Linked DNA regions of Oryctolagus cuniculus. The protein of the gene in region 2 purifies or fractionates together with the protein of the main gene of each other region. This does not show direct contact. Links are inferred from orthologs where the notes say so. Each region holds a gene or a part of one and is shown on either strand. Other genes may lie near its edges. The genes, in order: POP5, RPP14 and RPP40.

Region 1 (10,642 bases), on a different chromosome or scaffold from region 2:
TCCTCATTCACCTGCCTAAGGGCCAGCACCTCTGTGGGAGTAATTCCTGCTGGAGAAATTGCTAGGCCCAGCAGTCGTGACCTTGAACTCTAAGCTAATTCTTAGATGGACGAATCCTCACTGCAGACAAGGACAGGAGGCCAGGTTCCTAAGGCACCAAGGACGCGGGAGGAGTGAGACCCAGGTTGTGTCTGTCTCAGGGGCCTGGAGGATGTGGTGGCTCCCCAGGCCCATGGCCAAGCAGATGGAGGGCTTAATTTCATCTAGACTGTCCCTGTAAGGCTTTTACAGGAAATTGGTTGATAGGATTAGAGGAGCAGGAGCCCCTAATAAGAAGTGGCTGCTTAACAAAACACTGAAGCAGATCCAATCTCCCTTTGCCCCTACACAGCACAGCATCGTCGACTCAGGAAGGACTCACTCCACAGACGCCAAAGGGGCCTGGGAACAGCTCCCCCCTAGGGTTCTCCCTCCTCAAACACCCTTCTGGGCTCTGGACTTCCCACGATGCGGTGCAGAGAGCAAAGAGCTAAGAGCTAAGAGCACAGATCTTTGGATAAGACAGAAGTCGGCCCCCATTACTGTGGGACTTTGGGCAAGTCCATTCTGTCTCCAGGCCTCAGAGAATAAGATCTATCTCCACAGGGCTGTGCGGGTGAAAGGAAGTCAAACACAGTGTGCCCAGGGCAGTGGCTGGCATGTGGTGACAGCCCAATAAACAGCAGCCCAAGAGATAAGGATGGCACCCTCCCCCAAGGCCCAAGGAATAATGCTAACGGGAACATTTTAGCAGCTGCCCCTACCACCTCCCAGGGAATGCTGCAGACTTCCCAGCTGTGAAATGGGTCGTTTGAGTTGAGCTTCCAAGGTTTAAGGGCCATGCTGACACTAACGTTTCAATTTCTTGTGGGATAGGACTGGGCAAACAGAGTGGAACCCTCAGCTGGGGGGGAGGGGCAGGAACTAAAAGGAAGTTTCCCAAGCCCCAGAGGCGTCTATTTATCTGATCATCGGTTCTGGTCTAGGATCTACCCCTCTGCCAAGTCCCAGAGGAACAAGTGCAGGTGCAGGTGCAGGTGCAGGTGGCAGGTGGTTAGCTGAGCAGCGAAGGTGCCCATGTCCCACCTGGAAGGACCTGGGTTTGATTCCCGGCTCCAACTTCCGACTTCAGCTTCTTACACAGACCCTGGGGGGGGGGGGGGCAGCAGTGAAGGCCCCAGCAGTCAAGGCTCCTGCGGCACAGGTAGGAGACTTGGATTGAGTTCCACAGGGGTCTGGGACCTGCTGTAGGCATTTGAGGAGGAACTAGCAAATGGGAGTTTAAAATTTTCAAAGAGCACTTGTAATGATGACACTAAAACAGCGACTTTCCCACAGATCCTCAGTGGATGTGAACCCGCGAAGGGCACCTGCTCACGGGTCACACACAGCCGGCATCGGCCTGGAGCCCACCGGACTCCGCTCCATTCACCTCCCGAGGCCCAGGCCGCGCCGGCACTGAGGCGGGATAATCTCAGCCCCGTGGCATTGGCGTTCCGGGGGCGGCACGGAGCACGCAGCCGCCCCTCCACGCCTCCGCGGGCGGATTCCCCCGCGGCCTCCCGCGCGGCGCGCGGCGGGGACCCCGGTGATTGCCAGCAGCCGCCGGCCTCATTAGGAGACGTGTAATTAGCGGCTGGCGGAGCCTGAGCCCGCGCCGGCGCGGGCTAATTACCGCGGGAGCTGGCTGCCAGGGCCGCAGTGTTTCCTCCGGGGCTGTGCGTGAGCCCGAGGAGTCAATCGTTCGTTCGGAACAGAGTGCTTACCGCGCGCTCCCTGGGCCAGGTGCTTAACTCCCATTTCCTGGTCATTTCCAGTCGGAGGAACCTTTATTATCCTATTGCACAGACGAGGAAACTGAGGCCTGGAGGAGCGGCTCAACCTCCCTGAGGACTCCTGGTAGGGATTCGAACCCGCGGCGGTCCTACCGTGCAGACGACATCAGCCAGCGCTCGAGTCGGATGGCTGTGGGTTCGAGTCCCGAACCTGCTCCTTGACGCCCACTCGTGACCGTGGTCTGAATCCCAACTGTGTCTACAAAATGCGCGCGTCGCTAGGATTGACAGGCTGAAAACTTCAGGAGTGCTTTGAGGCTGGTCCTGCGGGGTCCACGCACTGCGGGCCTCCGACGCCCTCTGCGGGCCGCAAGACGATGTTTCCGGGTGAGGCGCGGGGCACGCCTCCTCCCTCCCTCCCTCAGCTTCCCTCCTTTAAGGTGACAAGAGTGGGAGATGGGAAGGCTAAGAACTCCTTCTAGACCTGGCAAATAGTCGGCTGTGAAAGGTGCTTCCCCTCATGGACCTCGCAGGGCCAGCCAAGGGCATGGGCATCAGTGACCTAGCTCCAAGGCATGCATCAAAGCATTGAGTCTACGAGAAAACCTGGAAGTAATTTATACAGCCATCAACAGGATACTGATGGCCGGCGTTGTGCCCTCGTGGGTACAGCACCAGATCCAACACTGTGAGGCCGGCATCCCTTGTGGGCGCCGGTTCGAGTCCCAGCTGCTCCACTTCCCTTCCAGCTCCCTGCTAATGCCCCTGGGAAAGCAGTGGAAGACGGTCCAAGTGCTTGGACCCCTGCACCGACTTGGGAGATCAGGAAGCAGCTCCTGGCTCCTGGCTTCAGACAAGCCTGGCTCCAGCCATTGCAGCCATTTGGGGAGTGAACCAGCAGATGAAGACCTCTCTCTCTCTCTCAAGCTCTGCCTTCCAAATAAATTAATTAATTTTACAAAAAAAGGCTATTCCTCCGCCTGCGGCACCAGCACACCAGGTTCTAGTCCCGGTCGGGGCGCCGAATTCTGTCCCGGTTGCCCCTCTTCCAGGCCAGCTCTCTGCTGTGGCCAGGGAGTGCAGTGGAGGATGGCCCTAGTCCTTGGGCCCTGCACCCCATGGGAGACCAGGAGGAAGCACCTGGCTCCTGGCTTCGGATCAGCGCAGCGCGCCGGCCGGAGTAGCCACTTGGGGAGTGAACCAACGGAAAGAAGACTTTTCTGTCTCTCTCACTATCTTACTCTGCTTGTCAAAAAAAAAAAAAAAAAAAAAAAAAGAATCTTTTAATTACTGAGTTAAAGAAATCAGACACAAAAGAAAACATGCTGTAGATTTATTGGAAGTTCACCCACAGGCAAAACTAACTGGTCCTGGTGGAAGTCGGAACAGTGGCTGTTTCTGGTAAGAGTTCTGACTGGGACTCGGGGAAACGTCTCAGGTTCTGGAAATGCTTTCTCCACCGGAATGTGGGTGACAGGTACACGAGTCTCTAGGAATTCGCTGAGAGGTGCTATACTTCCAATTTTTTTTTTTTTTTTAAGATTCATGGGGAAAACAATTTCTCAGCCTTGCTCCATCCTCAGCGAGGAATAGATTTTTATTTAAAGATTTATTTTATTTATTTGAAAGACAGAGTTACAGAGAGAGGTAGAGACAGATAGAGGTCTTCCATCCAATGGTTCACTCCTCAGATGACCACAACAGCTGGAGCTCCGCCGATCCGAAGCCAGGAGCTTCTTCCAGGTCTCCCATGTGGGTGCAGGGGCCCAAGCACTTGGGTCATCTTCCACTGCTTTCCCAGGCCATAGCAGAGAGCTGGATCGGAAGTGGAGCAGCCAGGACATGAACCAGCACCAATATGGGATGCCAGTGCTTCAGCCCAGGGCTTTAACCCACTGCACCACAGCCGGCGCCAACAAGAGAGAAATTTAAAAATATTCAAGTGAAAAGGAAAAAGTGCTTGACAGTATGACCCACGATGCTTACAAAGAAAATAAAAGGAAAAACACCACTTCACATGGGCACAATTCTCAAAAGCCGCTCTCTGCCTCACGACCTCTTTACACTCTTAAATTACTGAGGATTCCGAAGCGCGTCTGTTTTTGCGCTGATAACTATCAATGTCTACCTCAGAGATTAAAACTAAAAACTGTTTAAAACACAATAGACGATTTCATCAGCCCTCAGAGCGGCGATGCCAGATACCATGTGGCTTCTGGAAAACTCTACGGTCTACTCTGAGAGGGTGAAGAAGGCAAACTGACATCTTACTACACTTATTAATATTATTATAATTAATAATCCCGAGTCTCCCTGAATGAGTGGGAATTCCGTGGGAGAACTGCGGGCACAGGGGGAAACCACGGAAGAAACTACGTGATAAGCGGCTCTCTCAGTCCTGCGGTTACAGCGGAAAATACAATGACAACAGTTTTTGCAAACAAACAAAAAAAGGTGACAAAGCACCCATCTCCACAAAACTGTTGAAAGGCCCAAAGAGTAACAGCATATTTGAGTGGAAGAATTAAACCGCGCTCTAACCTGAAGTGTCCGATTTGCTGTGTGTCAGTCCCTGTGCTTCAGCCTGGAGTATAAATGCGTGTGTGACCGCGCCCTCAGGCGCCGGGCGCCCCCGACGCCGGCCGCCTCCTACACTGTGAACCGCGAGGGACCGCCCATCGCAGCCCCGAGTCCAGCCCCCAAACCACAACCTCCCGGGACGGCAAAAGGACGCATGCGCTCTTACAAAGGCCGTCGGAGGCGGAGCTTGAGGGAGACTGACACGGAGCTTGGCCTCTCAATTTTCTAGCACCGCCCTCCTCTCCTGGCTCCCTCTCGGAGTGGCTGCAAGGTGGCGAAGGCAAACTTCCCATTGGCCGCAGGACACCGACATCCGGTGAGCCCTTCGGGAAGGCGGGCCCCGCGGCAGCCATGGTGCGGTTCAAGCACAGGTAAGCGGCTCCTTGCGCACCCTCAGAGCCACCCCCGGTCTCCCCGGCCCCGGCTCGCGCGCTCACCCCCATGTGGCCTGCGGCAGGTACCTGCTCTGCGAACTGGTGTCCGACGACCCCCGCTGCCGCCTGACTCTGGAGGACCGAGTACTGGTCGGCCTGATTCGGGACACGATCGCCCGGGTGCACGGGACCTTCGGCGCGGCCGCCTGCTCCATCGGTTTCGCAGGTGCGAGGGCGCGGGGGCAACCCGGACGGACGGCGGGATTTGGAAGGAGCAGGCGCTGGAGGAGGGAGGAAGAAGTGGCACGAGCGAGCCCTGGAGAGGCCAAGCCCGGGCGCACCCTTCGGTCGTGGGAGGTCCACACGAGTCCGAAATTAGGCAGAGCTAAAGCAGGGGCCCGCAGGCAGTGGGACTTCGGGCAAAACCCTGTGTGGCGTCTGCATATTGGGGCTTGTTAGTGAACTTAACATAGTTAAATGAGTAAAGTCGTATATAGTTCCTAGGCAGAGCCATTATTTGACCGATTACATTGACATCACATGGGAAAAAGCAGGTCGTAATTACCTCAGAAAAGCCCTTAATAGTAACGTACAGCCCACGATTGGGTACAAGTTCCGTGCAGGATAGACAGGCACCAAAAAAGGCTGTTCGCCCTCCGGACTACTCCAGCATTTAGTTCCTTTTACCGTGAACTCATAGGGTCCTGGAGAATCAAGTGCACGGAGGTGACCTCTTGCCATCAGGTGAGACCCGCTGGCGGCCACAGGAGCCTGCAGAGCCCAACGGCAGTAAAACAGCCCGTTTATTAGACGAGGGCTTTTTTTTATATATACATATTATATATGTGTGTATTATATATAATATATATTATAAATATATATATTTGACAGAGTTATAGACAAGTGAGAGAGACAGAGCAAGGTCTTCCTTCCGTTGGTTCACCCCCAAATGGCTGCCACGGCCGGCGCTGCACCCATCCGAAGCCAGGAGCCAGGTGCTTCCTCCTGGTCTCCCATGCGGGTGCAGGGCCCAAGGACTTGGGCCATCCTCCACTGGACTCCCGGGCCACAGCAGAGAGCTGGCCTGGAAGAGGGGCAACCGGGACTAGAACTGGCACCCATATGGGATGCTGGCGCCACAGGCAGAGGATTAACCAAGTGAGCCACAGTGCCGGCCCCCAGACGAGGGCTTTTGTTTTTAAAAATGTATTTATTTGAAAGTCAGAGAGGGAGACCTCTTCCATCCCTTGGTTCACTCCCCAAATGGCAGCAATGAAACTAGAGCTTCTTCGACATGGGTGCAGGGGCCCAAGCACTTGGGCCATCTTCCTCTGCTTTCCCAGGTGCATTAACAGGGAGCTGGATTGGAGGTGAAGCAGCCAGGTCTTGAACCAGTGTCCATACGGGATGCTGGTGTCCCAGGCTTCACCTGCCACACTGCAAGGTTGGCCCCGACAAGGGTTTTTTTTCATGCTGAAACATCATCTCCCCCTCCTCCCAGTAAAGTCACTGAATAGAACAGCATTTTAGATTCTCGATTCATTTACCAATTCTAAGTGATGTGCAAGGCCTTGGTGGTTATCCTCATTCCATAAATGAAGGTCTCGTCTGAAGTTTTTCTTTAGGAGTCTGTTTTTCCTCAGTGATGCATCCCAAGTGCCATTTGTCTAGAACAGTCCCTGGCACAAAGCAGGCTCCGTTACCCTAAGGCTTCTAACCACCTGTGAATCCGAAGTTTTCCAAAATGATCTCTCCCCTGCTGTAGTTCGATACCTCAATGCTTATACCGGAATAGTGCTGCTTCGATGCCGAAAGGAATTCTACCGGCTGGTGTGGTCAGCGCTTCCCTTCATCACGTATTTGGAGAGCAAAGGACACCGTTACCCTTGTTTTTTCAACACGTTACACGTGGGAGGTAGGCATGCATGTAGTGCATTTGCTGAATCTTAAGTGACAGACTCAGCATTTACCTTGACTGCTCGCGTGCTGAGAGAGAATTCCTCCTAGCTCTGTCTGTAAAGCAGACATTCACAAGCTGTTGACTCCATGTCTTTCATGTGCCAGGTACAATCAGAACATGTCAGAAGTTCCTGATTCAGTACAACAGGCGACAGCTGTTGATCTTGTTACAGAACTGCACTGATGAAGGTAAGCAACAGTAGCCCAGTGCCCACTGAGCAGTGACCAGCGGGCTGCCCTCGTGCAGAGAGATTGCTCGAAGACATTTATTCTGCTCTGCCTCTTTCCAGGAGAGCGGGAAGCTATCCAGAAGTCAGTGGCGAAGAGCTGTTTACTAGAGGAGTCATCTGAAGAGGAAGGGGCTTCCGACAGCGGAGGTGAGGAAGCTGCTGAAGCAATGGCGTCGTGAACTGCTCAGACTGGGTGGCAGCCAGCCAGGGCTCGATTTTCCAGCGTGAACTGGAGGCCACACTCACCTGAAACCCTGGAGTTGCTTTTACAGAGTGTTTCTGGTTAAGTGGTTCTGCGGGTTGTAAAGGCTCTACACTTGTGGATAGTCTTGTATCTAATTACTTGTCTAATTTGGTTTCTATAGCATTGAGCATAATAACAAAAGGGCTTATACACTTCATGCTTGGCCAAGTCTCCTCTTGCATTTACCCTGGCTTTGGTGGGAAGACTGCTCCTATGTGACACTACATTAAAATATTTTTAAAAGATATGAAAGGCAAAGAAAGATCTCCCATCCACTGACTCCCCAAATGGCTTCAACAGCCAGAGCGAGCCAGGCCAAAACCAGAAGCCAGGAGCTGCATCCCAGTCTTCTGCATGGGTGACAGGGGCCCGAGTACTTGGGGTATCCCCCACTGCACACTAGTGCAGGGAACACATTAGTAGGGAGCCAGAACTGAAGTGGAACAGCTGGGACTTGAAATGGCACACCCCAACACCAGATGAATTTTGAATATTTAGCTTTCCACGTGTAGCCCTAGATAAAAGAGCTCATTTGGAATAGAAATGTGAAGAGACATAGCAACCAGCTTGTACAGATCCATAGTCTCAGTAATGATCCAAATACCTTAGAAATATCAAATTCCTTGCTAGCACCTAAGCAGCTGACTCTGAAAAAAAAAAAAAAAAAAAAAAAAATTGCAGCTTTTGCACTTTTGTGGCATAGGCTGGCCTCACCTGACTTCACTGCCAGGCTGGGAATTTTCTGTAGTTCCACCCATTCTTATTTCCTTACACCTGAAGACAGGTAACTGCCACACTCACAGGCATCAGACCAAAGGACTTTTAACCAGCTCTGTCCTGCTACCTCATGACATTTCTTGGCTGTTTTCTCCATAATAAAATGATGTCATTCAAAGGTCCCTCAGTCACAAAGTTGGGTTTTTTAAGGTTTATTCATTTTACTTGAAAGTCACAGTTACAGAGAAGGAGAGGCAGAGAAAGAGAGAGGTCTTCCATCCAATGGTTCACTCCCCAATTGGCCACAACAGCCGGAGCTGCGCTGATCCAAAGCCAGGAGCTTCTTCCAGGTCTCCCACGGGGATACCGGGGTCCAAGGACTTGGTCCATCTTCTTCTGTTTTCCCAGGCCATAGCAGAGAGCTGGATCGGAAGTGGAACAGCTGGGTCTTGAACCAGCACCCATATGGGATGCTGGCGCTGCAAGTAGAGGCTTTACCCACTACTCCACAGCGCTGGCCCCATAAAGCTGTTTTGCTTCACTGTGTCCTCTAATTTCAGGACCAGAACACAACCTCCCTCAAGAGTCCTTGACCTGAGATTTCCTTTAAAAATGACAGGCTAGCAGCTTCTGGGGAGCTGAGCACAGGAGTCTTCACATCCTTTCTCACAGGCCTTCCCCATCCAGCTCCTGGATCCTCTGTCATACGCCCATGAACAGTCACTGACTGAAGAATTATCAGTAACCAGAGTTGCACCTGTACCTTTGAAGTGAGGAACAAGAACCTCAGATATGCTGCAGTGACCCTAATCTTTCAGGCTTAAAAAAAAGGGGGGCGGGTGTTTGGTGTGGCAGCTAAGGTGTTGCTTAGGGTGTATCACACAGAGAACTTGGGTTTGACTGCAAGCTCCACTGCTGATTCCAGCTTCCTGCTAAGGTACACACCCTAGAGCAGGACTGGCTCAAACAGCTGGATCCCTGCCACCCAAACAGGAGACCCACACTGGGTTCCTGCCTCCTGCCTGGCCCAGCCCTGGCTGTTGCAGGCATCTGTGAAGTGAACCAGCAGATGGAAGACGGTCTCTCTCTCTTAAATAAATAAATCTATCTAATCTATCTTTATAAATAAATAAATCTTTATCTTCTCATATTCTTTTTTTTTTTGGACAGAGTGGACAGTGAGAGACAGAAAGGTCTTCCTTTGCTGTTGGTTCACCCTCCAATGGCCACCGCGGCTGGTGCGCTGCGGCCGGCGCACCACACTGATCCAATGGCAGGAGCCAGGTGCTTATCCTGGTCTCCCATGCGGGTGCAGGGCCCAAGCACTTGGGCCATCCTTCCCTGGCCAGAGCAGAGAGCTGGCCTGGAAGAGGGGCAACCGGGACAGAATCCGGCGCCCCGGCCGTGACTAGAACCTGGTGTGCCGGCGCCACAAGGCAGAGGATTAGCCTAGTGAGCCACAGCGCCGGCCACCTCTTATATGGTTAAAGTTAGGCCCAGCTCAAGAGGCTTTCTGGTGTGTATGGGGGGCTGCTGAGGTGCAGTGGGTTAAGCTGCCACCTACAGGGCTGGCATCCCACAAGGGATGTCCCTGCTGCTCCATTTCTGGTCTAGCTCCTTGCTGATATACCTGGGAAAACAGCAGGAATTTTGAGAAGCAGCTCCTGGCTTCTGGCTTCACCCTGGCCCAGCCCCTGCTGTTGTGGCCATTTTGACAGTAAACCAGCAGATGGAAACTCTGTCTTTCAAAATAAATGGAATATATTTTTTAAAAAAGTCCTTTAGGCCTGATACCAGAGAAGACATTAGTCCATGATGGCTGAACTGCCTAAGTTCATAGTAGCTGTTACTTTACCCTATTTCAAGAAGTAATATGTCTGGCTGACCTGCAATGAACTTAAAAAAAAAAAAAAAAAAAAAAAAAAAAAAAAAAAAAACAGAAAAGCTGACATTGCTTGTGCAGGTGATTTATTACAACTATTTGCCTTCACATTCTATTACACCTAGAGTTCATTTTATTAAGCAGAAAACAATTCACATCACTCAAATTCAGCTCAAATCAAGGCATAAGAAAGCTGCTGTAGACAAGAGGAAGACAGTGGACAACCTACTGCCTTCACCCTGCCCTGTTCTCCAAGCCAAACTCCTGCCCCTACCAGTCAGGCCACTATCAGACAAGCTTGACCTGTGGGATGGCAGGTTCAGAGCTTCCTTACAGACTGGCAGCGTTCCTAACCCTCCTTCACCATGTAAATGGCCATCAAGCTGGCAACCCACATCTGGCACCACAGCCTGGCCATCTGGCAGAAGAAAATCAAACTGCAGCTTAAGCTGGGTATCCTAAGGCCATTTTATTCCCATCCCTGTTTCTATGACAAGGAGAACTGCACAGGCAGAAAGGACGCAGCTATCTTTATGACAAACTGCTAGGTGTGATGAAAGCAGAGGCGCTGGCGCGGGGTGCCGCAGCAGGACACTTCGTGCCGCTCTGCTGTGAGCTGTTCCAAGGGATGCTGAAGGACTCAAACTTTTGGGGGGCTGAAAACTAATTACACATGGGCCAAAACACTAACCTGGCAACAAACTAAAAACTCTGGCAGGAAGAGATGTCTTGTGAGTGTCAATACTTTTATTTTGGTGTAAAGACGGGAAGCTGGAAAATACACTGTATTTAAAATTTTTCTTGGTTCCCCCTCGCGTTGTGGAATCCCCCTCCCCCCGAGC
Region 2 (9,833 bases):
AGAAGGGCAGTGAGCCGGACGGAGCCGTGGACACCCTGCCGGGGCAAGGAGAGGAGGAGGGGGAGAGAGAACGTGAATTGCGGGTCTGTTACTAGCTGGCAGACGCCCGGGGTGGGGGGTGGGGGGCGAACAGGGCCCGAGGCGGGGCCGGGGGTCGTCGCGGTGTTAGGATGGGCACCGGGCCACGTGGAGGGGAGTCGGGGAGGCCTAGAAGGAGGCGGCGGGAGGAAGGGCGGTGCGTAACTGGCGGGAGAGCCTGGTGCGTGCGCGGCCCGTGTGCTGGAAGGGACGAGTGCGGGCCGTGGCGGGAGCAGCGGTGCGGGGTGCGGGAAGGGCCTCCCGGCAGGCGCACCCGGAGTCTGGCCTCGCTCTAGACAGATCCGGAGAGTGGGGTCTGGTAGATTCTGTGGCTGCGGGGGAGGGGCACAGGGGCGGAATCGGAGACCCTTGGTACCGACAGAGCAGTTTCTAGGCTTCCCTGCCGCCCCTGAGAAGGCTGGCTTCAGAGGGGAAGTGGACCGTGACTCCAGGCGTGCTTCCGTTTGGTGGCGGGCCTGGGGGCCGTGCCAGGCTCATCTTTACTTTCAGAACAGCCTGCAGAGGGCGCTGGTGTCACTGAGGAGTCCGGTTTTTGGCGAGCTCATGTGTTCCATGAGTTTGGAGAGGTGTTTTGTTTTGTTTGTTTGTTTCTTTTTTTTTTGGTAATATATGTGTAAGGTAAAACATCGTTTGATCCATTGTTTTTTTTTTATTTATTTTTATTTTTTGACAGGCAGAGTGGACAGTGAGAGAGAGAGACAGAGAGAAAGGTCTTCCTTTGCCATTGGTTCACCCTCCAATGGCCACCATGGCTGGCGCGCTGCGGCCGGCGCACCGCGCTGATCCAAAGCCAGGAGCCAGGTGCTTTTCCTGGTCTCCCATGGGGTGCAGGGCCCAAGCACCTGGGCCATCCTCCACTGCACTCCCGGGCCACAGCAGAGAGCTGGCCTGGAAGAGGGGCAACCGGGACAGAATCCGGCGCCCCGACCGGGACTAGAACCCGGTGTGCCGGCGCCGCAAGGCGGAGGATTAGCCTAGTGAGCCGCGGCGCTGGCCTGATCCATTGTTGTGTGCAGTTAGGTGGCATTAAGTGCATTCTGACTGTTGGGCAGCCACCATCGGTATCCATCTCCCAAATGCCCAGGGTCAGCAACTCCTTCGAAGCACTTGGAAATACTTGAGAAAGCACCTGTCATGTGCCAGGCACTGAAAGAAGTAGATGCGATTTTTGCTGTTTTTGCGCTTCTGGTTAGGCGGGGCTCTGGGGGCAGGTGGACGGTCACTGTGCTGTCCTGAAGCCAGAGGCGCAGTTGAACATAGGGTCCCCCGCTGCCGCCGTTCTCTGAGCTCTGTGTCCTCCAAGCCAGACACAGAAAATGCTGAGGTCTGTTGAATGGATGTGTGGATGGAGCTCCTGCCGTCCGGCTTGTGCTTGTCTCTGGGCTCTTCGTCTGGAAATGGGCCTGAACCTGAGAGGTTTTGAAAATGCTCGTCTGGATCTCTGTGACCTTGGCTTAGTTCTTCTCTGTGCTTGGGCCTCAGTTTCTGGGTCTCGGCAGCGGGGAGCCCAGATACTAAGCAAACAAGCAGTGTCAAGACGTCCTATAACGTGAGCATTCCCGAGAGGGCGGCAGAAGGGCTCGAGGGGGAGGCCGGGGGAAGAGGAACTGGAGGGCAGCACTCTGCGGGCCTCGAGCGTGCTCTGAGTTCTCGGAAGGCCCAGACCTCAGCAATGGCTCTGAGTGCCCATTCCAGGAATTCCTCAGTCTCTCACGGAGCTGCCAGGTGGTCCTGCCCAGACCTGACCCTGGACCGAGAGCAGGTTCACCTGGAAGGGGGGCAGCCAGCTGCTTGTTCGTGCTCTGGGCTGACTCAGAGTAAACCAGAAAGGGGCCCGCAGGTCTCAGGTTTGGCTCCTTTATGTTTTCATTTTTTTCCTCTGGATCCAGAGGCACCATTCCAGGGCAGTCTTGCCATGGCAGAGTAGGTAGAGCCTGGGCCAGGCGCTAGCCATGAGGGTGGTAATAGTGTCTGCCTCATAAAATCGCTTTGAAGGCGCAGAAGCTAAGGCATGTGCAGTGCGTAGTGCACACTGGGTGCTTAGTAAGGAGAAATGGGAGCTGGCTTGTTACTGAGGTGGAAGTGAGGGCAGTGGTCTGGCATATTGAACAATATAGCAGCTTCCTTGTATCTGTGGGGTGACCTGCATTTGACCAGAATTAGATAAGTTGCTGTCCTAAGAAGTCACTTTAAAATAAGTCATATTCTTATTAAAAGTGTGAAAAATAGCATTTTAATTTTTAAAGGTTATTTATTTGGAGGCAGAGTGATGGAGAAGAGGGGAGAGACAAAGAGAGCTCTTAGCTGTTGATTTGCTCCACCCCGAATTGCTGCAACAGCCAGGGCTGGGCTGGGCAGGAGCCAGGAGTAGCAGAGGCCCAAGCACTTTAGCCATCCTCTGCTCCTTTCCCAGGCGCATTAGCAGGAACCTGGATCAGAAACAGGGTTGCTGGGGTTCAAACTGGTGCTCCAATATGGGATGCTGGCATTGCAGGTGGCAGCTTAACCAGCTATACCACGATGCTGGCCCCAAGAGCACATGTCTTGGTAATCTCCATCCCTCTTGACTTGCTGTAGGTGTGATCAGCATTGGAAAGGATGGAATTCGAAGAGAGCTGGTCTCAAAGAATAATGCGCATAGATCCCTCCGACTACCACTACATGAAAGTCTGCCTGTGAGTTCAGTCTCCTAAGTTCTATTTTAAATTACTTTTTAATAGACTTGAGCAGCATAAAATTTAACATAATGATGTCTCCCTCTTTCTTTTTTTCTTTGTAATATTCCTTGCAGAGAATTTGAAGAACACGGAATTGGACTGAACGCTGCACAGTTCAAGCAGCTGCTTGTCTCAGCCCTGCAGGAGCTGTTTGGGGAGGTAGGGAGTCACTAGATGCAGTGGACAGTCTGACGTTTCTTTGTAAGAAATACAGAAAGAACACTTTCCAAATGTTATTTTAAAACTGGATTTGGAATCGCAGAAGCTGACTTAGAAATCAAGAATTTGGAGCAGGTTTGTTCTAATGTGCCTTCTATTTGACAAGGATCTTGTTAGACAGATGTTGTGTTCCAGCTCAGAGATACTCAAGGTATGGTCCCAACTTGACAGCCTGCAATCTGTTAGGTTTATTTGTTTGCCAGTCTTCAAGATAGGAGTTCACACCAGAACCAGCATGCTACTTCCGTTGATGAGAAAGCTTGTAAGAAGGTGCGAGTAAACGAAACATGCAGTTGCTGTTCATTCTCACAGACCAGCACCTGGTCAGCTTGTCTTAGCATTCAGTTGAGAACAGAAATAGAAATCTGAAAGCTAAGCGAGAAGACAAGACAGGATTCTCAGCAAACTACTTCCTGGTTCATGTATTGTATCAAAATTTGCTAAGTTCCTTAGAAAATATAAAACTTGTGCTCTGTAAAAAACCTTGCTAAGAGGGTGAAAACACAAATTACAGACAGAAAAGTGGTGTTAATAGATAAGTTTATTTTGGTGCAAAAAATTTTGAAATCCATGCATGGTTTGTCCATAATAGGCATTTTCCATGAACTTTTTGAACTTCCCTTGTGTTTACAAAGCACATATCCAGCAAAGGACTCAAATCTAGAATGTAGAAAGAGCTCTGAAGACTTCATAGTAGGTGTGGATGTTACAGTGTGGTGTGTTGATCTGCTGCTTAGGACGCTTGCATCCCATATGCAAGGGCCTGAGATCTAGTCCCGCCCTGCTTCCCATCAGGCTCCCTCTAGCGCGCCTGGGAGGAAGCAGATGATGGCTGAAGTACTTGGTCCCGTGCTACAGTGTGGGAAACCCGGATGAAGTTCCTGACTCCTGACATTGTCCTGTCCAGCTCCGGCTGTTGCAGGCATTGGGGAGTGAACTAGCAGATGCAAAGTCTCTCACTCTGTCTCCTTCTGTCACTCTGCCTTTCAAATAAATAAATCTTTAAACAACAACAACAAAAACTTAATAGTAAATAACCTAACAGTCAAACTAGAAAGTGAACAAAAACCATGAAAAGACATCTCACTAAAGAGGATGTGCATTTGGCAAAAGCAGCTGAAAAGATGTTTAACCTTACCTATTAAGGAAATGCATGATAAAAACACAATGCGAAATCAGTGTGTACCTGGCAGAATGAATGAAGTAGAAAAAGCAGTAATACTAAATGCTGACAAGGAAGCAGAGAAATTGGGTCCCTCATGTGAACTGCAGCTGCTCCGCTGTGTGCTTTAGCAGCTTCTGGAGAAAACTGAGCAAGCACCTACCTCCCAGCCCCGACAGAGCACTCCTGCGCACTTACTCTGGAGCAGTGCAGCTTGTATGTGCAGATGTTCCAAAACCTAGACACACCTCGGCTGTCCTGCAGTGGATGAATGAATGAACTATGGCACAGTCCTACTGTGAAGTATACTCAGTGGTAAAAAAGGATTAACTGTTGATGCACACAGCTTGAATTTCCAGAGAATGATGCTGAGTTAAGAAAGTTATCCTGGAATATTATACACTCTTGAAATAGCATCATCATATGATTTGGAGAAAGATCAGTGGTTGCCAGAGTTTAGGGACAGAGTGGGGGGGGGGGGGCCACGAGGTGTGGCTATAAAGGGGTTGGAGTGAGGGGATCTTGAAAGGTTCAGTTTTTTTGTCCTAATTGTGGTGGTAGTTACATGAAGCTACCTGTGAACTACATACAACTAGCAAATACAAGTCTGTGTATAACTGGTACAGTATGAATTGAATCTGTATTGTACCAGTACCATTTTCCTGGTTTTGAGACTGTGCTGTGGTCATACAAGACCCTGACATTGTGGGGAGGTGAGGTGAAGGGTGCTTGGAACCTCCTTGTACATTCCTCCGTAATATTCCCTGAGTCTATAATTTTTCTAGATAAATTTTTTAAAACCTGTGCACCTTCTATGTCAGGTATGAAACCTGATTCCTGGATCTATACCTGTAAACAGATGTGACCTCTGCCTCACAGTCTAGTGCTCATGGTTCTGAGATAGGAAAACGTGTCCAGCACTGACAGTGAGGAGGAGGCGGAGGAGGAAGAGTGGTGTCCAGTGGGGGAAGAGCACAGCGAGCAGATTGAGCCTCATGGTGAGGATCTGGGAAGAGCAGGTTAAACCAAGGTGAGGAGGCATCAGCACATGAAGAGGTTTGAGAGGAGCATTCTAGGCAGGGGAGCGGTAAGACAACTCAGTGCCAGCACCACTGAATACAATGCTGCTTTTCAAAGGTGGCTCAATTATTTGGGTCCCTGTCACCCCTGTGGCAGACCTGGAAGAAGCTCCTGGCTTCCTTAACTGTAACAGCCACCTGGGGAGTAAACCAGCCAATGGGAGCTCTCCCTCTCCTTCCTTCTCTGTCCCTGTAACTCTTTCAGATACCTAAAATACTTCCTTTTTTTTTTTAAAGATTGGTGTTTGTTGTAGAGGAGAAAGACTCAAAGAATGGACAGGGTTAGTTGTTAGAGTTGAAGAGTAATGATGATAATAGTCTGCTGATAGCGTCCCCTCATATGTAGGTTGGTGCCGCCCTGCCCTTCGACGTCCTCACCTACGAAGAGAAGACCTTGAAGGCCATCTTGAGAGTATGTAACAGGTACGGCAGCTAGTGGGGCATTTCTGGTCTAACAGGGCAGGAAGGCTGGTGGGGAGGTAGAGCAAAGATGCTTTCTTCTGAGAATGAGAAGAACGTGGTTGTGTGTTCTGAGCAACTTCTGGGAGTTTGAACTGGAGTGGATATGAACGTTCACGGCCAGCTGCTGACCGTCTGTAGAGAGGAATGTGGGATTTGGTAATAGTTAGAGGGCTTCTCGTTTGCTGGGATGACTACAAAGTCAGAAATGTGCATTTTAGAAACAGTCTTACTGGAGGTTCAATGATTCTCTGTGACACATTATGCTTTTTATTTTGGGTTGGTAGGGGTTGTTGATTTATTTAAATGAGGCTTTCTAGTAAGAAAGCAGCCATTGGAGGGGCCACGCAGACAGAAGTGCTGGGGAGGTAATGTGGGGACAGAGCTTTATTTATGTTTCCTTGATCTTTCTGCAGTGGTTTTGTCAAATTGTGGAGCTCTCTGACCATGTTAGGATCCTATAAAGGCAACAAGTGTGCTTTCCGAGTGATTCAGGTAAACCATCCCCTCACGTACCCTACAAGGCTGCGTGGCGGTGAGCTGCTTTTCAGCGTGTGTGAGGGAACTTCAAAAAGTGTATAGAAAAAGAAAAAGGTTGATTTAGGTGCAAGACGTTTTGAAATGCATGCCCAGCTTCTGCATCGCACTCATTCCCCACTGGCTTTCTGAGGTGTCCTCGTGTGCTTCCTTCTTGAGCTCGAACAAAACTGGGCTGGTTACCGCCATCTGGCTAGGAAGAAGCACAGAGTCCTGCAGTGACATGGGAAAGGGGAGAGGGTCGGGGATAGATTCGGACTCTTGTGATAAAGGCTTCATGTTTCCTTTAATGCTGATGCCTCGTGTGCTAGGTGGTGGTCTGTTGTGTCTGAGCTTCTGACCACTTGTGTAGCTGAGGATGCCCGTGACAGCGCCCTGCCTCGGCTTTGTTTACCCTGTGAGTGCCGTCTCCTCACGAGGCTGTGTTAACCCTTTGTCTGTCTTGTAGGTTTCTCCATTTCTCCTTGCGTTATCTGGTAATAGTAGGGAGCTCGTGTTGGATTGAAATGTCAAGTGCAGACACCTTCTTCTGCTGTCAGAATATTCTTTGGCGCCCACCTAGCACCTGAAGGCAGAAGCAAGCCAAGAGCCACTGTGGGTGCTGAAGATGTTCCCCGTGATCTGCAGCTGTCGCCTTTGGTGGGGTCAGCTGCGGCGGAGCGTCTGCCTGAGTCGCCCTGTGCTGAGCGGGCAGCGCTGCGAGTGCGTGCACATCCGAGTTGGAGACCGGGCTGAACTGAGCAGGGCTTTCACTCAGAGCGACGTGGCTGCCTTCTCGGAATTAACGGGAGACGTCAATCCTTTGCACGTAAACGAAGAGTTTGCGAAGCACACCAGGTTTGGGAAGGCGATTGTGCATGGGGTGTTGATCACTGGACTCATCTCAGCGCTCCTGGGCACAAAGATGCCAGGGCCCGGCTGTGTGTTTCTTTCCCAGGAAATTCACTTTCCAGCGCCTTTATATGTCGGAGAAGTTGTTTTGGCGTCGGCGGAAGTGAAGAAACTGAAGCGGTTCATTGCTGTCGTTGCAGTGTCGTGTCGTGTAGTAGAAAGTAAAAAGACCGTTATGGAAGGCTTGGTGAAAGTCATGGTCCCAGAAGCTCCCAGATCCTGAAGTAGGTGTGCAAAGGTGCAAGTTCACACCCAAGAGCTGCAGTTATTAAAAAGCACCTGGCTTAACAGGGACTGTCTCTCTTCCCCGGGGGTGGCCTGTGTTAGGGGAGGGGTGTTCGAATGTGCGCTTTCCAGCTTGGCCACAAGTGCCACAGGCCAGAGTCTGTGCCCCAATCCATCACCTGCCGAGACTTGCAAACTGAAAAACTCCCGGGAAGGTTATTCATCTAAGGCTCAGCTTTGTGAATTTCAAACCCAGACGTGCGTTTGTTAGCACGAGTGTGCCCTTGTCTGTGCAGGAGTTTCTCACAGACGTCGCTAGTGGCATGCAGTAATAGGAGGTGGGTCATTTCTGAACATGTACTCTTTACCAGAAGTATTCCTGGGCCCTGGCTTTCAGTCATTTTGGGGTCAGAGTTCATAAATGTGACTGTTCACAACAAGACGACTTCCTGTCCACCTTCAGTGGGACCCACCTTTCAGGTTTCCTGTTACTGCAGAAGGGTTCATGTGCGGACTTGGACTTGGTTGTAAAAGCTGCCTGATTTATTAAGGGGTAGGGACACACACCACGTTGGGGTTAACGTGGGAGAGGATGGACACAGAGAGGTAGACGTGGGGCTGACCTGGGGGTGAGGTCGGCCCTGCTTACAGTGGAGCACATAACAGGCCAGTCTTTGAGGGTGATAGGCAGTCTCTGTTAGTACTCTGGGCAGATAATCAATGCAGAGTTTTCATTTTAGGAGTCCAGATTTTTGCCCTTAAAAATGTGCCTGTGTTTCCTGTTGTATAAGTATATGCCTGTTGTAAAGAAAAGAAGAAGTTAAGAAAAATATGATGAAGGCCACAAATGCAAAATTCTTAAGAGTTTGGGGATACTGAAGGGGAAACGCACCTGATGGGTTAATATCAAGTGCTTAGCACCAACACCGCCAATGCTTTTAAGATGAGAGCCTACAGCACCCTCCAGGTGGCCCACCTGTACAGCCTTCAGATGCTAACTCTGCTGCTAGATGTTTTGATTAAGGTGATCAGGTGTAACTGGTTGGTTCTGTCAGATTTCCTGGGATAGAGATTTTATTCCTGCTGGTGGTAAAGTAGATTTTTCAATTTTGGAGTTTTTTTTTTTTTACAAAAAGGGGAGCAGTTGAATTGATTACTAGAAGTAATCATTCTATTCACTAGAGGGCAGGGATGCATATAAAGTGAATACTTTAAAACTGAGCTCGTCACTGTGGCATAGCGAGTTAAGCTGCTGCCTGTAGCACCGACATCCCATATAGGCGCTGGTTTGAGTCCCAGCAGCTCCACTTCCAGTCCAGCTCCCTGCTAATGCACCTGGGAAAACAGCAGAAGATAGCCCAAATATTTGAGCCCCTGCACCCATGTGGGAGACCTGGATGAAGCTGCTGGCTTCGGCCTAGCCCAGCCCTGGCCATGGCCATTTAGGGTGTGCACCAGTGGATGCAAGATTTTTTGTCCCTCCCTCTCTGTAACTCTGTCACAAATAAATACTTTATTTTTTAAGAAAAAACTGTATAATGCTATTCCATGCTGCAGTTTATGAAGGTGGGAACAAAATGCTCAAGTCAACGTGAGGAGCCAGGGTGCTGTTGTGAGTCCCGGAATGGGCAGCTCGTGCAGGCTCAGGTGCTCCTGAAGAAGACATTTATAGGTAAACCACTAGATGTGCCAAGAATGTTACAGTAACAAAAGAAGACAGAACTCCAGACCGGGACCGCTTGCTCCTGGGGAGCCTGTTCCTTGGGCCTGGCAGCAGCCTTAGAATCATGGAGTCCACAGGTGGAGGGGGGGTGATCACAACATCAATACTCGGAGTGGGTGGTTTTCCTCACCCAGGGAGCCAGTTCTCTGCATTGATGCTAATCCTTGAAACAGCTCTGTGAAGTTAGTGTCCTGTTGTATAGGCATGGAGTTAGAATGATGCTGTGTGACTTACCCAGGGTTGTGCCCCTAATAGTGGTAGAGTTGGGGGTTCCAGCAAGGCCTTGCCTGGCTTCCAAGCCATTCTTTTGCCATCACCCTGTGGATCTTAAAATGTTTCCGTTACTGGAGCGCTGTCATGTTCTATAATGGTGCCTTGTTATGTGGCATTAAAAGCAATTAATTGGAATCATTCTGTAGAATTGATACATTCAGAACATTCTAGATCTTATTTCTTGCTCTCCTTGTGCCTTTTTTTTTTTAAGTATCTGAAATTTGAAGTTTTTATTTTTATTTTTATTTATTTTTAACGTGGAGAGTGAGAGAGAGAGAGAGAGAAAGGTCTTCCTTTTTGCCATTGGTTCACCCTCCAGTGGCCACCGCAGCCGGCGCCGCACCAATCCGAAGGCAGGAGCCAGGTGCTTCTCCTGGTCTCCCATGGGGTGCAGGGCCCAAGCACTTGGGCCATCCTCCACTGTACTCCCTGGCCACAGCAGAGAGCTG
Region 3 (10,591 bases), on a different chromosome or scaffold from region 2:
ATCAAATCGGTGACTGGGGCTCAGCATTCAGACCACAGCAAGCAAGGCCATTAACGATTTTCACGGCAGCAGTGGGTGCCAAGTCCTGCTGTGCTGAGGGAGGTTCTTATCGAAAGCCAACACCAAGTGACTGGTAGCAACTGCTGGAACTCTGTTGGAAAGGGCTCTGAGGTCAAGTTCAGGCTCAGCAGGAGGGAGTCCTCTGATTCTGAACGGAACAGTCAGGATTCCCTGTACTGCTGCCCCTGATTCTAATGAGACGATGTTGGAAGGTTCCAGGGCAGTGCTGGCCAGCTCTGAGTCAGTGCTTTCCCCCAATCAGTACAGTTCCACCTGTTGCTGGCTGAGATATTTGCAAGCACATGTATTTATCAGGAACGTGTGTTTTGGATTGGCACCTGACCCGGGCATTAAATCACTTAAAATTTTAATATTTACAAGGAGTTGGCATCTTTAAATTCTGTCTGTTGTTTCTAATTACATTGCCTTCTGGCCTAGAAATGTGACGTGTAAAGTTTTTATTCTTTTCTGTATTAACTAAGTCTGTATTTATGTTTACTGAACACGGTCAAAGGGATTTTGATTTTTTTTGTAAGCTCGATTTTTTAAAAATTTCATTGCTCCGTTCCTTTGGATATAGACACATAGAAGAGTTGTGTTCACTGTTGTGTGTGTGATTTATTGATTTTTGGCCCTTCATTCCCTCTTAAAACTTTTCCATCTATGCCCCATGCTCTAGATTCTATGATATGATATTAATATCTTTCAGTTCAGATTGCTTTCTGCTCTAGAGATCAGGTAATCTGACATACACAGTATGAACAAGGGGAGGAGATGAGGATGAGGCAGGCAGGGAGCCAGGCTAAGATTTTTTTTTTAATTTTTTTTAAAGATTTATTTATTTATTCGAAAGTCAGAGTTACACAGAGAGAGGAGAGGCAGAGAGAGAGAGCATCCGATAGTTCACTTCCCAGATGGCCACAACGGCCGGAGCTGTGCGGATCTGAAGCCAGAAGCCAGGATCTTCTTCCAGGTCTCCCACGTGGATGCAGGGGCCCAAGGACTTGGGCCATCTTCTACTGCTTTCCCAGCCACAGTAGAGAGCTGGATCAGAAGAGGAGCAGCCGGGACTAGAACTGGCACCCATATGGGATGCCTGTGCTTCAGGCCAGGGTGTTAACCCATTGTGCCACAGCACTGGCCCTGCTGTCTAAGATTTTATTCTGAGACAGTGAGAGGCCAGTGGTGAGGGATTTAAATTGGGATGGTGGGGCATATGTCATGTTTTTCATATTTTCAAGAGATCACTGGAAGCTCAGTAAAAAATGGACTGTAGGAGAACAAGAGAGGAAGCAGGAGGTGGTTAGAATGCTCTCTCGGCAGGTAGACCAGTAAGAGGAAGGTGGTTCGAACTGGTTGCAGCAATGGAGACGGCAAGAAGAGGCTGCAGTTAGGACTTATGCTGCTGGCAGAGTTAACAGGATCTGCTGTGGGGCTGTGTATGGGGTCAGGCAGGAAGAAGAGATTCGGGGTGGCTTCCTGGGGCTCCTCTCAGGAAAGAGGCTGGAGAGAGCTGGTCCTAAAGCTGTGAGACTCTGAACTGAGATATACAAGATGGATAAGTGGGGGGACAGGCATTGGGCCTTAAAGGTCAGATGCCCGAATCCTATACTGGAGTGCCTGGGTTCCAGTCCCAGCTCTGCCCCAATTCCAGCTTCCTGCTGATGCGCACCCAGGAAGGGAGTTGGTGACAGTCAAAGCATTTGGGTCCCTGCCACCCAGCAGGGAGACCGAGGCTGACTTCTAGGTTTCTGGCAGGGGCATGCTGCAGGTTTTTGTGGGGAGAACCAGCACACTGGACATTTCTGTCTGCCTTTCAAACAAATAAACAAACAAAAGTAAAAATTGGAAGGAAGGAAAGGGGCTGGGGACTAGAGATCGGGACGAGGAGGGGATCCAGGAGAGTGGAGATCCACAGGAAAGGTTTCAAGAGTGAGAAGTGCTCAACTGTGCCATCGGCATCAAAAACAATTAACAGATTGAGTCAGGGACAGAGTGCTCAGCAACGTGGCGCTCACTGCTGACCCTCACAGAGGCCTTTCCCTGACGTGGTAGGGAGGAAGGCCAGAGAGGAATGAGCTCACGGAAGGAGAGAGGAACAAAATGGTAAAGAAAGAATCTGGGGTAAAGGCTGTCCGTTGAGTGCACGCTAAGGCGTGTCTGTGTGCTAACACGGGCAGGGGACCATTATAAACAGTTCCAGAACTCGGGGGCTGTGGCCTGAGAGGAGTCCTTAGCCACACATGCACTTGGCATTAGAACTTCCATCTTTAAATCTGTAACATGAGTGAGACTTTCGCCATTTACTTCACATTACAGGCTTCCACGATGAACACTTCTGTGGAGGAACCGCTTGGGTTTTAATACCCAAACTGCCTAGCAGCTGTTCAGCTCTCAATGTAGTTGCTATTGGGCCGGCGCCGCGGCTCAGTAGGCTAATCCTCCGCCTTGCGGTGCCGGCACACCGGGTTCTAGTCCCGGTCGGGGCGCCGGATTCTGTCCCGGTTGCCCCTCTTCCAGGCCAGCTCTCTGCTGTGGCCAGGGAGTGCAGTGGAGGATGGCCCAAGTGCTTGGGCCCTGCACCCCATGGGAGACCAGGACAAGTACCTGGCTCCTGCCATCAGATCAGTGCGGTGCACCGGCCGCAGTGGCCATTGGAGGGTGAACCAACGGCAAAGGAAGACCTTTCTCTCTGTCTCTCTCTCTCACTGTCCACTATGCCTGTCAAAATAAATAAATAAATAAATAAATTTAAAAAATGTAGTTGATATTCACATAGATAAGATTTCCTGGGGGCCTTCAAAGAAGAGGGTCATCTTATGCTAAATGTTTTACTGGAAATGTTTTACGTTGACTCCAAACACAATTGGCATCAGAATCATACCAGTCACTTTACAGGGCTCTGGAGTATCACGAAGATGCACATATCTGCTGTGGCATACCGGGCCACGGCTCATGAACCACCACACCGGGCCACTGCTCATGAACCACCACACCCGGCCACGGCTCATGAACCGCCACACCGGGCCACGGCTCATGAACCGCCACACCCGGCCACGGCTCATGAACCACCACACGGGCCATGGCTCATGAACCACCACACCCGGCCACGGCTCATGAACCACCACACCCGGCCATGGCTCATGAACCACCACACCGGGCCACGGCTCATGAACCACCACACCCGGCCACGGCTCATGAACCACCACACCGTCTGTGAAGTGACAGTCGCAGTGTTTCGAGCACTGCACGTCCCATCATGTCTGCCGCTTACACCTTGGTGCCACATTGTGATTTTGAGCTGTTGATGGATTTCCTATGCTTTGTTAATTTTCCCATATAAAATAATAAGACATAGGTTTTCACTAGTATTTTTTTTTACTAAGTCTGGCATTTCAGGCAGATTACTGAGGTGTTTTTTTTTTTTTTAATATTTATTTATTTGAGAGGCAGAGAATGCCAGATTCCTTCCATTTGCTGGGTCATTCCTCAAACGGCCGCCAAGGCCAGGGCTGGGCCAGGCAGCACCCAGGATCCCAGAACTCCCATCCCAATTTGCGAAGCGGATGCAGGCGCCCAAGCCCTTGGGCCATCTCCCGCTGCTTTCCCAGGGGCACTAGCAGGGAGCGGGAGCGGGAGCGGGACTCGAACCTGCACACGGGATGCCGGCGTCACGGGGGCAGAACCTACCGTGCCGCAACACCGGGCCCCAAGATCGCTGTGTTTAATGCAGACGCCTCTCCAGCCTGTGTTACACTTCCAATGCTTACCTTGCAAACCCCCTGCCCCCCGTTTCTTCCTCATCCTGTCACCACAAAACCGATATTCGCGGACGCCGTTCAACCCACGTCCGACTGCTGCGCACCCCCAAGCCCGAGCAGCTCGCAGCAGCGCAGACCCCGGCGCGCACCCGAAAGGCCCGGGTGGTGACCCCTCAGAGCCGCGACCGTCGCGGGGGAAAGCGAGGGTCCAGGCGGTCCTCCCTGACGCGGCCACTGGGGTCCGCGGCTGGCCACCGCGCTCTGAGGCCGCCCGGGGCCGGTCAGCGGCCGCCGAGGCGTCGTCTCCGCATCGGAGGCGGTGGGTTCACGGTGTCAGACGCCGCGCGCCAAGGAGCGTCAGCGGAGGTTCCTCACGGAACCGGCCCGGAGACCGCTGCGAGAAGCGCCGTCCCGCCGGGCAGCTGCCGAGCCGCACTGCGCATGCCCGCGGGTGGGGCGGGGGCATAAAAGGAAGGGGCGGGGCATAAAAGGAAGGGGCGGAGCTCTGGAGCGGCAGCAACAGGCGGGAGCATGGCCACGCTGCGCCGGCTGCGAGAGACGCCGCAGCACTTCCTATCCTGCGTGATGTCGAGTTTCCACGATCCAAGGCCCCGCCACCGGCATTTCGTGGAGACGCACTATTATAATTACAAGGTGAGTTCGTCTCCGCGGGCGGTCCAGAGTTCCGAAGCAGCCGCGCTCAGATTTCGCTATGGCGGGACCGTCGTGGGCGTGCGGGGCAGGCGGCGGCATGATGGGAATTGTAGTCTCTTCTCGGCCCCGGACTCTTAGCTCTCAGGGCTGGAGGACTACAACTCCCAGGATGCGGTGCGCCGTGCCCACCGCTGTTGAGGGATTGAGCGGTGGGTGCGCCTCTCGCTGTTTCCCGGAGCGCCGCCGGCTAGTGCCTCGTGTCCTGGGCTCTCCGCTCTGGGACGGAGAGAGGGGTGTGCGGGCCTGGGGTGGTTGGCCACGGCCGCTTGGAACTCTTCCCTTCGCGCGGCGTCCTCCGCACCGGCTCCCTGTGGTGCTGAGTCCCGCACCCGCCTGTGCCTGGGGGCCTTCCCCGAGCATTGTGCCGTGCCCAGGCCCGGGGAGCTCTCTGCTTTCCTAGCCGCAGACACCCCACAGAACTAGCCTTCCGTGGTGAAGAGTTACGGCTGGCGTCTACACCCGCGCCCACGTGGAAGTGACTGGGTTCGATGGTCAGCCCTCTCCTGACTCCAGCTGCCCGCTGATGCAGACCCCGAGAGGAGGAGAGGTGGCTCAGGCGATGGGCTTCCTGCCACCCGCATGGGAGACCTGGATAGCATTGCTGGCTCTGGCTTCGGTTGCAGGCATTTGGAGAGTGAACCAGCAGATGGGAGATTTCTCTCTTTCTCCCTTTCAAATAAGATTTAAAAAAAAATATTTGGAAGGCAGAAATGCAGAGAGAGAGAGGGAGAGATCTTCCATCTGCTGGTTCGGTGGCCAGGGCAGGGCTGGGCCAGCCAGGAGCCAGGAGCTTCCTCCGGGCCTCCCACGTGGGTGCAGGGGCCCAAGCAACTGGGCCAGCTTCCGCTGCTTTCCCAGGTGCCTTAGCAGGGAGCTGGATGGGAAGTGGAGCAGCCGGGAGTAGAACCCGCGCCCGCATGGGATGCCGGTGCCGGCAGGGCAGGTTCAACCTTCTGTTGCCACAGCGCCAGTCACCAAATAACAATTTAAAAAGATTTTTTTTTTTTTCTGCTTCGTGTCTTCACTCTGTTTGCATGCAGAAATGCAAAGCTTGACTTGTCAAGGTTCTGTGCTTGAAATCAGTAGGTGAGCTTGGCGTTCCGCCACCTCCGTGTATGTATTCCAGTAAAAACTGGAGAAGCAGCCACTTTGACGCTCTCACCTCCTTGCCGAACACCTGGCTGTTGGTGGTGAAAGTGAGACGGAGTTTGTACGTGTCCCACTAGGTTTCGTTTCTCATTCCGGAATGTGCCTTGCTACCAAAGGAACTGAAGAGCCTGGTCACGGAGCTCGGGCCCTATTATCTTGTGAAGAATTTACCTCTGCATGAATTCATCACACCTGAATTCATCAACACCTTTGTGAAGAAAGGTATGAAAAACCGCACAACGTGTGAGCAGGCAGGGGTGTGTTCTAGAAGGTGGCCGGGGGCGGTTTTGTTGTGGAAGCTGCATGGTGTCCTTATGCAGACTAAGACAGCAGTGATGTAGCCAGGAGACTGGCTCTCATGGGACTACTATGTGCATGGCTCATTGCTGACATTGGGACAAGGCGTGGTTGTCCAAGGAGACTGTCACAATACTGGGTTCCTCTTGTCCCAGGCAGGCCCTGTGGGGGTAACCTGTGTGTCGAAGGGCGTGCATTACTACCCCCACTCCGCGGGGTTGTCACCCTCCTCTCTGGTGTGCCCTCTTTCCGTGGGGATTTCTGATTAGACCTGCCCACACGTGTTGGGTGCGGATGTTGAACGTGGGGTACCCCTCATGGTAAAGCAGGAGTTGATGGAGGAGGGAGGTCTGCGATCGGGGTCCTGCTGTTGGGGGGTGGCTGCGAAGACGCGGCCCACTCTCCTGATGCGGCGCAGCTGCCCTTCCCGGAGCTGAGTGCTTAGACGCGGGGCCCTCCCGCTCTGCGCACCTCGCCTCAGCCAGGCTGCCTGGTTTGTTGCAGTTGTCTCCTGGGAGCCATCCATGTGAGGCCGTGTTGATGGAACCTTTAGGGAGCCCACTCTGCTCTCGTGACCGCCGCACCCTGGCCACGCACTTGTCCTGCTGTAGGGCCCGTGGTGCGCTCTCAGGCGAGCTGGCGAGAAGTCCCGTGCTCATAGCCTCCCCGCCGGACACTGCGGGGCTGCTTGTGAAGCCGGGGCCTTCGTCTTTGGTCTGAAGTTGTTTTGTTAACAGCGTGGACATTCGCAGGCACTTTTCAGTAGCCTATTAATTTAGCCCTCGCAACGACTCTATGAAGTAGGCCTGGGGAGCTGAGGCGTGGGGAAGTGGAAGAGCTTTTGAGTGTAAGTCGGAACGCCGCCTTGAGGTGTGTACGTTGACCTGTGTCTACCTGTCGCTCTCCGCCTGCATCCCCAGGGCGCGTGTTCCAGGCTGAGTTCGTTTGTTGATTGATAATAGGGGACTTGCACAAATGGGCCCTTGGTGGCAGAGTGAACCGGCTGGAGGCTGGCCTTCTGTACGTCCCAGGTTACCCTTTGCAGGTGCTGGCCTTATTGAGTGAGCTGGAACGGTGACAGGTACTGACTGTTATTTGCGTGGAAGATTGTTATCACCTGAAAATAATCCACTAATATTATGCAGATGTGGTTTCTTTCTTTTTTTTTTTTCTGCTGTCTTAATCTCTTCTTTGGACTTCTCTCGTACAGGTTCGTGCTATGCACTAACATACAACACAAACATTGACGAAGATAATACTGTCGCCTTGCTACCAAATGGTAACAATACTGATTTTTCTTTCTTTTTCTAATTATAAGAGAAATGCATAATGTTTAGAAAACATGAGGTCACCACCTTTTAACTCCTCCTTCCAGACTCACCTGCTTCTTATAGGAAATTGTGAATAACTTGCTGTTTTCCCTCCCAGACATTTTCAGTGAGTTTATAAACGCACAAAGAAGGTTTATAATGTAAATTCCATCATACTACTTCAGTATGAAGTACCTAGCGTAGACACTTTCTGTATCAGCGCACATACAGTCATGCATTGCTTAACAGCAAGGCTGTGTTCTGAGAAAGGCATCAATAGGAGATTTTGTGGTTGTATGGAAACCATTGAGTGTAGGTACACAAGCCTAGATGATACAGCCTGCTACACACCTAGCTGTACGGGGTAGCCGGTGGTTCCCAGGGCCGTGATGAAATCAAACCAAGCACAAGGAAGGTGATGGGATCAAGAGGCAGGGCAGGCTCCAGGTGTACGAGGCTGCTGTCAGCGCAGCGTGGCAGACTTGGTGTGTGTGTGTGTTTGTTACCGTTTACTTAGTTTCATCTACTTGAAAACCAGAGTGAGAGAATCTTCTATATGCGGATTCATTCCCTAGATGCCCACAACCTACAGGGCCCGGCAGGCCAAAGCCAGAAGAAGGCTACAGTTCCCTCTGACTCTACCACGAGGGTGGCTGGGGCCTAAGTACTTGAGCCATATCTGCTCCTTCCCAGGTGTGTTAGCCGGAAACTGGATCAGAAGCAGAGCAGGGGGCCTTGAATCAGACTGGCGCTCTGATCCAGGATTTGGGCATCTTCTGCTGCCTCCAGGATACAGTCAGGAAATTGGATCAGAAGTGGAGGAGCCAAGACCTGATCCCAGGCACTGTGCTATGGGATGCTGGTGTCCTAAGCAGCAGCTTATCCCACTGTGCCACAATACCCGCCCAGTTTTATAGCAACCTTTTAAATATTTATAAAATGTATCCATTTATTTGAAAGAGTTACAGAGAGAGGGGGAGAGACACAGAAAGATTTTCCGTCCACTGATTGACTCCCTCAGTGGCCACAATGGCCAGCACTAGGCCAGGCCAAAGCCAGGAGCCAAGAGCCAGGAGCTTCATCCAGGTCTCCTGCATGGGTGGCAGGGGCCCAAGTACACGGGCCATCTTCTACTTTTCCCAGGCTGTTAACAGTGAGCTGGTTTGGAAGTGGAGTAGGTCAGGCATGAACTGGCAGCTGGATGGGATGCCAGCATTGGTAGGCAGCAGTTTTGCCCATTATGCCACAACGCCGACCCCTAAACTTTTTTTTTTTTTAAAAGGTTTATTTATTCGTTTGAAAGGCAGAGTGAGAGGCAAAGAGAAAGAGAGATCTTCTGATTGTTCACTCCCCCTCCCCCTTCCTCTCCCTCTCTGCCCTGCTGTAACTCTGCCTTTCAAATAAATCTTTTAAGGGAAGAAAAAAAAAAAAAAAAAGGAGAAGAAGAAATGGAGTCTCCGGGACTAAAACCAGGCACTCTATAAAAAAAGCAGGGCGGGGAGGGGAGTAGCCAGGACTTGAACTGGCATTCACATGGAATGCTGGCGTTGTAGGTGCTGGCTTAACCAGCTGCACCACAATGCCAGTCCCCCATTTTTTTTGTGTGTGTATTCAAGCGTATACTTAATAAGAATAGTGTAGTAAATACACTAACCGGTAACTAGTTTATCATTAAGTGTGGTGCACTGTACGGAATTGTCTGTGCTCTGCACTAGACGCGTTTACACCAGCATCACCAGAGACATGTGAGGAGTGTGTGTGGTGCAGTGCAACTGTGTGATAGGTGTTTTCCAGCTCCATTATAATTGTAGAGGACCCACCTTCGAATATGCGGTTCCTCATTGACCAAAATGTCATGGTCTGGGCCGTGACTGCAGCTCTGACTTACTGTTTTTATTGTCCTGAATGTATTCAAAAGACCAAGTGGGTCTTGATTTGTTTATTCTTTCTTTAATAGAAATTTGGATTATCTCTAGGTTCACTGTTATAAGTAACAGCATTGTCTCTTTAATATGTAAGTAGTATTCTGTAATAAGATGTGTGTATATATAAGTCATAGCCTTAAAAATTAGGTCTTTGTATGCAGTTTATTACATGGATGTGGTAATTGTATGCTAGCTGTTCAGTTTGGCTGGCTTGCTTACTTGTGTAGTCAGAACCCTGCGTCGAATTTTTAGTGTCTACTTTATGGGTATTATTTGATTTGTAGGAAAATTAATTTTATCCCTGGATAAAGACACTTATGAAGAAACTGGACTTGAAGGTCATCCATCTAAGTATTCTGGCAGAAAAAGTATGAGATTTAGTAAGTATGATTTGTGCCCTATCAGTTTCCAACAAGTTAGTTACCTTCCTGTGACCATTTAATTTTAAATGTTAGAATTGCCTCTCATCTCTTTGTTCAGAAACATAGGGATTTTCCTTGTCTCAACCAATTGAACTTAGCAAAGGATAAAATTGTGCTGTTAAATCTCTCTCTTCAGTTGTAGACTGCATTTTATAAAGAACATATAATTGGACTATTTCATTAGATATGTATGCTTTGTGTCAAAAATTCAAAGTAATGAACCCAAAGTAAGAGTCTAAAACTTTTTTTTGCCTAAGATTTATTTATTTATTTGAAAGGCAGAGTCGCAGAGAGGCAGAGAGAGAGAGAGAGAGAGAGAGAGAGAGAGAGAGATCTTCCATCCTCTGGTTCGCAAAGGGCTGCAGTGGCTGGAGCTGGGCTGCTCCGGAGCCAGGGACCTCCTCCAGGTCTCCCATGTGGGTGCAGGGGTCTAAGGATTTGGACCACCTTCCACTGCTTTCCCAGACACACTAGTAGGGAGCTGGATTGGAAGTAGAACAGTGGGAATTTGAACCAGTGCCCATATGGGATGCTGGCACTGCAGGTGGTGGCTTTACCCCTACGCCACAGTGCTGGCCCCTAAAACTACTTCTTAATAAAGAATTTCCTTTGACTTTTTTTTTCCCCAAGTCTTTATGATTCCTAATAGGAATCCGTGAGTGAAGACATGTTCTGCTGTCAGTGTCTGGGCTGGGCATCAGTAGAGAAGGCCACTGTGTCCATAGGTGGATTATAGCGGCCCTCCCAAGGACCCCTGCCCTGTTCTTTATTTTTTTATTTATTGAAAGAAAAAGAGAGGCCCCATTGACTTCCCAAATGCCCAGAACAGCTTCGGGGCCAAAGCCAGGAGCTAGGAACCCCACATGCATCTCCTCCGTGGAATGGCAGGAACTCAGTTAGTCGAGCCATCCTCACTGCCGCCTGGGCGCTGCGTTAGCAGGAAGCTGGAGTCA

What was found.
Region 1: the proteins of RPP14 (region 2) and POP5 purify together in Homo sapiens (co-immunoprecipitation; 3 studies listed by BioGRID and IntAct, with this or other methods). This does not show direct contact. The link is inferred for Oryctolagus cuniculus from reciprocal best matches to the Homo sapiens genes RPP14 and POP5.
Region 3: the proteins of RPP14 (region 2) and RPP40 purify together in Homo sapiens (co-immunoprecipitation; 3 studies listed by BioGRID and IntAct, with this or other methods). This does not show direct contact. The link is inferred for Oryctolagus cuniculus from reciprocal best matches to the Homo sapiens genes RPP14 and RPP40.

Annotation. Positions count from the first base shown.
Region 1 is NC_091452.1:16,596,880-16,607,521, reverse strand, and holds POP5 (ribonuclease P/MRP protein subunit POP5), read left to right. Parts: upstream 1-4,617; 5' UTR 4,618-4,745; coding exon 4,746-4,765; intron 4,766-4,851; coding exon 4,852-4,994; intron 4,995-6,533; coding exon 6,534-6,683; intron 6,684-6,832; coding exon 6,833-6,916; intron 6,917-7,017; coding exon 7,018-7,136; 3' UTR 7,137-7,358; downstream 7,359-10,642. UniProt on the Homo sapiens protein: Component of ribonuclease P, a protein complex that generates mature tRNA molecules by cleaving their 5'-ends. Also a component of the MRP ribonuclease complex, which cleaves pre-rRNA sequences.
Region 2 is NC_091441.1:91,669,131-91,678,963, reverse strand, and holds the end of RPP14 (ribonuclease P protein subunit p14), read left to right. Parts: exon of another isoform or gene 1-83; intron 84-2,676; 5' UTR 2,677-2,697; coding exon 2,698-2,774; intron 2,775-2,890; coding exon 2,891-2,975; intron 2,976-5,622; coding exon 5,623-5,699; intron 5,700-6,151; coding exon 6,152-6,230; intron 6,231-6,720; coding exon 6,721-6,777; 3' UTR 6,778-6,879; coding exon of another isoform or gene 6,880-7,386; 3' UTR 7,387-8,919; downstream 8,920-9,833. Other genes in the region: HTD2 (hydroxyacyl-thioester dehydratase type 2, mitochondrial), read left to right, coding at 6,880-7,386. UniProt on the Homo sapiens protein: Component of ribonuclease P, a ribonucleoprotein complex that generates mature tRNA molecules by cleaving their 5'-ends.
Region 3 is NC_091436.1:165,366,251-165,376,841, forward strand, and holds the start of RPP40 (ribonuclease P protein subunit p40), read left to right. Parts: upstream 1-4,299; 5' UTR 4,300-4,352; coding exon 4,353-4,475; intron 4,476-5,761; coding exon 5,762-5,906; intron 5,907-7,191; coding exon 7,192-7,260; intron 7,261-9,500; coding exon 9,501-9,596; intron 9,597-10,591. UniProt on the Homo sapiens protein: Component of ribonuclease P, a ribonucleoprotein complex that generates mature tRNA molecules by cleaving their 5'-ends. Also a component of the MRP ribonuclease complex, which cleaves pre-rRNA sequences.